Tribolium castaneum: one gene and its partner. The main gene of each other region encodes a partner of the protein of the gene in region 2 in a complex. Links are inferred from orthologs where the notes say so. Each region holds a gene or a part of one and is shown on either strand. Other genes may lie near its edges.

Region 1 (2,563 bases), on a different chromosome or scaffold from region 2:
GGTATTGAATTTAATAATTTGAGTGCCATATATTGAAACGTATTGTGTATTCTTTATTTTGTATAATATTGATTACAGTAACTTTCATGCAAAAAAGATTGATATTTGTGTTGTATTTTTTCATTACACAAACCAATAATTTCTTTATTCCCTTCATTTTCTAATAATCATTGTTTACCTCGTCCTTGATTCCTTTTTTCCTGGCAAGAATGCTCTAAACCTCCACGTGGTTCTTGCTGGACAAATTACTTAGTAAATTGACCAATTAGAGCAATCCATGATTCTAATAAGTATTGTTTTTTACAGCCGTAAAACTATTATGTTAAAACACCTCTTATATTCTTATATTGCAGAGAGCATACGAAATATAGATTTGTCGAAGATGTAACGCAAAGAACAATTTATTTGTTGAATGCATGTATTTTATAGATGGTTTTAGATTTGTACGATTTCACTAGAGATGTGTTCTGTTACTTCATTTTCTGTTGGTAACAAATTCTAGACGTGAATTTTTCTAGATCTGTTACCAACATAAAATACAACTCGCCAAAAGAAAATGTTTGCACCTTGGCCATAAATTAGCCATGACTCAAAACAGCTTTTTAAGCAATTTTGAAAAACCAGGTTTCCAAATTTTCCAAAGTACGTGCTTCTTTTCGGAAATAAACCGAGGTGAGGCACCAACCCCAACAGGCGAAACTCACTAAAATGGCAACTAGAACGGTGTTATGTCAGAAAATAAATTCAATTCCCATAAAAATGAATTGTTTGTGATAATTGACTTATCCGAAATAATCATGACACTAATTAACGATTAATTAAAACCAAAGTGCCAATAATGCGAGTCGTCACACGATACTTGCACTTCTTCAAACTTCCGGACAAAAAACGCGAATATTTCGCTAGAAAACTCGTGGGGTGAGCTAAATATCCAACTGGCTTGCTTTAATTACTTCATTTCAGCTTCTCGACTAGTCAGATGTACAAAGTGGTGGCTGATGTGAAAAATTACAAGAAGTTTGTACCTTTCTGCACCAAATCTGTGATCTTATCTCAAGAACCGTCCGTTTTACGGGCGAACCTAGAAGTGGGCTTCCCCCCGGTTATTGAAAACTACACCTCGGTTGTCTCGTTACGTGAACCTGAACTAGTCAGTGCTGTTTGTAAAGATGGGAGGTTGTTTCACGTCTTGGAGACGACTTGGAAGTTCAGTCCCGGCCTCCGGAGCAACCCCCAGTCTTGCATCATAGATTTCTACATCAATTTTGAGTTTAAATCAGCGCTTTATTCCAAATTAGCGATATTCTTCTTTGACCAGCTGGTGCACCAAATGGAGGATGCGTTCATAAAGGAGGCGCAGAGGCGGTACGGCAAGGAGTCGCTGCCCGTGCACCCCCTTGAGCCAGTGAGGACTTGACCATAGTTTGTTATTGTTTTACAATTTTATTTTAATAAATTATTTTATTCAAATCTGGGGATTTTGATATTGCGTCAGAGTGACAGATGACATAACACCACACCTAACCTCAAATTAAGCAGTTCGAGTTTTATTTACGTAAAAATGGCAGGGTTAATACTCCAGCGTAGTTTATTCCGAAAAATCTTGCCTACGATCAACCGGAGGTTGGTCTCGACGTCGAAGAAAACGAACGAGACCGCCGTAGCCGACGCGGTCAAAACCGAGAAAGTCGAGCACAAAAACTGGGTGTCTTACGGCTTTGATGCAAAGGGCAAAGAGAGCGATAGGACGGCAATGCACTCGATTATGTTCGCTTCTGTTACGCTTTGTCTGGTCTGTGGGGGCTATTTCATGATGTACGCGCCAGACTACAACCTGAAGGATTGGTCCCAAAGAGAGGCTTTCCTGGAGCTGCGCAGGAGGGAGAAGATGGGGCTGCCGCTGGTCGACCCCAATTTAATAGACCCCGCCAAGATACAACTGCCATCAGACGAGGAATTAGGAGATACCGAAATAATTATCTAAGCGATTTTAGACAAGTTCAAGTAAGGGCAAGATTCAACTTGTAAATATTTATACTTAAGTTAAATAAAAAGTACAAAAAAAAACTACTGGCTTTTCTGTTCTCTCCAATGTTACCTACACATCCTACATTATACAAAATCTATTTTAGATTCAACTTTGCGTCTTTTCAAAAATTCTTTTAAAGTTTCATTTACAGTTTTTCTTATTTATTAAAAGATTCCTCTCATATTCTTTACAAAGTCGTTTCTGAATAGAGCTGCTCTTCTTTAGATTATGATTTTATTAAACTGTCTTCATAGTTTCTTTTATAAATTCATTAGTCTTCTTTGAAATTATTTTGAAGACATTACTTATATTCATTTCATCATTTTTCAACAATCTCCAAGTTGCGTTTTCAACATTCTGGTGGGGGTAGTGAGGGTAAAATGAAGCGGCGTTGGTTGGTTTTGTTATTTTGTATATTTAACCAAAAACGTACTTTGGTATACAAGCACTTAAATTAGAACATCATATAATGGCAAAACGTCAAATTATCGTAAAATTACGCAAAGTTCACAAACCTATATAATGCGTGAAACC
Region 2 (4,106 bases):
TGGGCACCCGACGGAACTTCTGGTGGTACCATGGGTAGCTCTGCTGGTTGGGTTCCACGATCTTTTCTAAAAAAATTGTGATTATACAGGGTGTTAGCGAAATAAATGCATTCCTTTCAAGAGCGTGTTCTACAAGTGATTTTAAGGGGTGTCCTACATACAAAATGTTTAGAAAAAGAATTCCCCTGCAGAGTTATTCGCATCTTAAGTTAAAATAAAAATTATTGAAAAAAATAAAAATCAAATGTGCTATGTGCCATGGCCTTCTTGTTGTAAACACGTTTTTAAACAAAAAATCAAGATTATCTTGTTTTTATTAAACTAGAACGAAAAAATCGCCAAATTTGGTCGAAAATTACAAAAAATTCACCTTTTCTAAACGTTTATTCAACAAAAACTCAATTATTGCACAAAATTTAAAAAAAAAATAAGCCAATAAATCACAAATTATGACAAAAATGACATTACTTTTGCAAGTTCTGAGGATTTAAACACATTTTTAGACCAAAAATCATATTTTTCTTCCTATTTTTATTAAACTAGAACGAAAAAATTAGTAAATTTGGTCGAAAATGACCAAAAATTTACTTTTTCTAAACGTTTATTCAACAAAAACTCAATTATTGCACAAAATTTCTTAAAAAATAAGCCAATAAATCACAAATTATGACAAAAATGGCAAGTTTTGAGGATTCAAACACATTTTTAGACCGAAAATCATGTTTTTCTTAATTTTTTAATTAAACTAAAAAGAAAAAAATCACCAAATTTGGTCTAAAATGACCAAAAATTTACTTTTTCTCAGCGTTTATTCAGCAAAAACTCAATATTGCACAAAATTTCTCAAAAAATAACCCAATAAATCACATAATTATTACAAAAATGGCATTATTTTTGCAAGTTTTGAGGATTTAAAAACATTTTTAGACCGAAAATCATATTTTTCTTCCTATTTGTATTAAACTAGAACGAAAAAATTACTAAATTTGGTCGAAAATGACCAAAAATTTACCTTTTCTAAACGTTTATTCAGCAAAAACTCAATTATTGCACAAAATTTCTTAAAAAATAACCCAATAAATCACAAATTATGATAAAAATGGCAAGTTCTGAGGATTCAAACACATTTTTAGACCGAAAATAATGTTTTTCTTTCTATTTTTATTAAACTAGAACGAAAAAATTACTAAATTTGGTCGAAAATGACCAAAAATTTACCTTTTCTAAACGTTAATTCAACAAAAACTCAATTATTGCACGAAATTTCTTAAAAAGTAAGCCAATAAATCGCAGAATTATGACAAAAATCATATTATTTTTGCAATTTTGCAAGTTCTGTATTTAAACAAGGTTTTAGACCAAAAATCAAGTTATCCTTTCTGTTGTTATTAAACTAAAACGAAAAAATCACAAAATTTGGTCAAAAATGACCAAAAATTTACCTTTTCTCAGCGTTTATTCAGCAAAAACTCAATTATTGCACAAAATTTTTCAAAAAATAAGCCAATAAATCACAGAATTACGACAAAGATGACATTATGTTTGCAAGTTCTAAGGATTTAAACAAGGTTTCAGACCAAAAATTAAGTTATCCTTTCTGTTGTTATTAAACTAAAACAAAAAAATCACCAAATTTGGTCGAAAATGACCAAAAATTAACTTTTTCTAAACGTTTATTCAACAAAAACTCAATTATTGCACAAAATTTCTTAAAAAATAAGCCAATAAATCACAGAATTATGTCAAAAATGGCATTATTTTTGCAAGTTCTGAAGATTTAAACACGTTTTTAGACCACAAGTTTTTCTTCCTGTTCTTATTAAACTAGAACGAAAAAATCGCCAAATTTGGTCGAAAATGATCAAAAAATTACCTTTTTTAAGTGTTTATTCAGCAAAAACTCAATTATTGCGCAAATTTTCTTAAAAAGTTAGCCAATAAATCACAGAAATATGACGAAAATGATATTATTTTTGCAAGCTCTGAGGATTGAAACACGTTTTTGGACCAAAAATCATGTTTTTATTCCTGTTTTTATTAAACTAAAATCACTAAAACGAAAAAATCAGAGGTTTGCAGAAATATGTTAAAACTAGGATAAAATTTGGTCCCCCTTTAAACTAAAATTGACCTGTTTTAGCATTTTTTCCAAACTTGGACAAGACTGGAGATTTCATGGGGTCACCCTGTTTGATATAGAGTTTATTTCAATGATCATTACATAACACACAAAACTGTTAATTGTATGTTCAGTTTTAAAAAATCCATGTCAACCCATTGCATACAGTTCCACAGAAGCCCCAATGTTCAGCAAAATAAAATCTTCACTGCATATTTTGATTTAATTAAAAAAATGTTTTGAGCCATAACCGCTCATAAAACCATAACCGGGACAAAATGTAAAGGGCCAAGACAGAGCTGGACTGCCTATTTAAACCAAAACATTATCTAAAAATCGCGAACATGTCCTGGTAAAACCAGAACGTTTGCTCACTCAAGGGGCAACCACAAGTTTGAGGTTAGTTGGGGCAACTTACCCCGAACCCAAACCGTCGGCGTCACTAGAACATTGGCAACGGAATTGAAGAATTTCTCGACAATATTTCGGGGCTCCACTTCTGGCATTGTTATTTTTCGAAATTAAATATTTTAAGCTTGAACCCTATGACAGTTGGTGACTACGGCGTGAAGTTGGCCACGAGTTGGATAATCACAATTTGGCAATTTCCCCCTAATTAAGCCGAATTAACGACTGGTCATTGTAATTTCAATCGGATTAATTACGATTCGTGTTTTGTGTTTTAATTGTGCGTAATTAAAAAACGGAATGGTGTGAAGTTGGCGACGTGACAATTGAGCGGCCGATCGAGTCCCGACGTACGTTCGGGCCCGTGTTTATTGTTTGGTGATACGTGACGTCCAAGGTCGCGTCTGTGATGAGCCCAGTGGCGCAAGCTGGCCGTCTATTTCTCAGTTGTTTCGTGTGGTGTGTCACCAAAAGGCCATAATGAAACGCGAAATTGCAAAATTAATCGTTCTTGTTTTGCGTTTTTGACGAATCTGTGATAATTGTGAAATTCTAAACACCCCAACCGCTAGCTGTAAATTCCCTAAAAATAAACAAACGAATTTCTAAGCCTTCTAGTTACGTCAAATTTCCTATGATAGTTGGCTAATATCTATGGCTAATATGGCCGCCTGAAGTACGACAGCATTTCATGTCTTTTGTTGTGTGAAGTGAGGTGGAATGGAGCTTAGAGTGGGCAATAAGTACAGACTAGGGCGCAAGATAGGCTCCGGGTCCTTCGGGGACATATATTTAGGTGAGGCGCGTCCGAAATTCCACTGTAAACAAAGGACCCAAAGTACCACGATTTTGCCCATTTCGCAGGTACCAATATTTCCACGGGGGAGGAGGTCGCAATTAAGCTAGAATGCATCAAAACGAGGCACCCGCAGCTCCACATAGAGTCGAAATTTTACAAAATGATGCAGGGGGGAGGTAGGTATGAGGCCCCAAAAAGTCCCAAAATTCACTCTGTTCCAGTGGGGATCCCCCAAATGAAATGGTGCGGCTCGGAAGGTGACTACAACGTCATGGTGATGGAGCTCCTCGGACCATCCTTAGAAGACTTATTTAATTTTTGTTCACGTCGTTTCTCCCTGAAAACAGTTCTCCTCCTAGCCGACCAATTAATATCACGTACTGACTTCATCCACTCGCGGAACTTCATCCACCGCGACATCAAACCCGACAACTTCCTCATGGGTTTGGGCAAAAAGGGTAACTTAGTTTATATAATCGACTTTGGGCTAGCGAAAAAATACAGGGACGGACGGACCCACCAGCACATACCCTACCGAGAAAACAAAAATCTAACAGGTGAGCCAAGGCCGACTTTCGTAACAATTGCGGAACAATGTTTGCGTCAAATAAGCCTTTAAATCAAAGTGTTGTGAAAAAACTTGCATTTTTTATATACAGGTGTCTGTTTTTTGAGCTCCACCATGGGAACTCAGTTATTATAAGAGATACAGGTCGGTTAAATTAAGGCAAAGGTGCGCATGCTGAACAATTATCTGGAAGAAAATTTATTGGAAAAAAA

Evidence for each region. Proteins that work in one complex are often made in the same cells at the same time.
Region 1: the proteins of ND-PDSW (region 2) and NP15.6 are in contact, whole or in part, in a cryo-EM structure (PDB 8BA0), measured with the Drosophila melanogaster proteins. The link is inferred for Tribolium castaneum from reciprocal best matches to the Drosophila melanogaster genes ND-PDSW and NP15.6. Residues at the interface, in NP_651972.1 of Drosophila melanogaster: Trp40, His42, Gln43, Phe45, Thr50, Ile51, Asp52, Ala65, Phe69, Arg70, Arg71, Met74, Val75, Glu78, Ile79, Ile82, Leu83, Arg86, Ala112, Asn115, Trp116, Ile118, Lys119, Ala129, Tyr133, Gln136, Lys137, His138, Arg139, Leu140; in NP_650774.1 of Drosophila melanogaster: Gln101, Phe102, Arg103, Trp105, Ala106, Gln107, Arg108, Glu109, Gly110, Phe111, Leu112, Glu113, Leu114, Val125, Ser126, Pro127, Asn128, Tyr129, Val130, Asp131, Pro132, Ser134, Ile135, Thr136, Leu137, Pro138, Leu143, Glu147, Ile148, Ile149.

The regions. Positions count from the first base shown.
Region 1 is NC_087395.1:21,576,971-21,579,533, reverse strand, and holds NP15.6 (NADH dehydrogenase [ubiquinone] 1 beta subcomplex subunit 11, mitochondrial), read left to right. Parts: upstream 1-1,486; 5' UTR 1,487-1,561; coding exon 1,562-1,984; 3' UTR 1,985-2,063; downstream 2,064-2,563. Other genes in the region: coenzyme Q-binding protein COQ10 homolog B, mitochondrial, read left to right, coding at 839-918, 964-1,417.
Region 2 is NC_087399.1:6,556,850-6,560,955, forward strand, and holds the start of ND-PDSW (NADH dehydrogenase [ubiquinone] 1 beta subcomplex subunit 10), read right to left. Parts: upstream 2,801-4,106; 5' UTR 2,626-2,800; coding exon 2,538-2,625; intron 67-2,537; coding exon 1-66. Other genes in the region: dco (casein kinase I), read left to right, coding at 3,248-3,323, 3,392-3,883.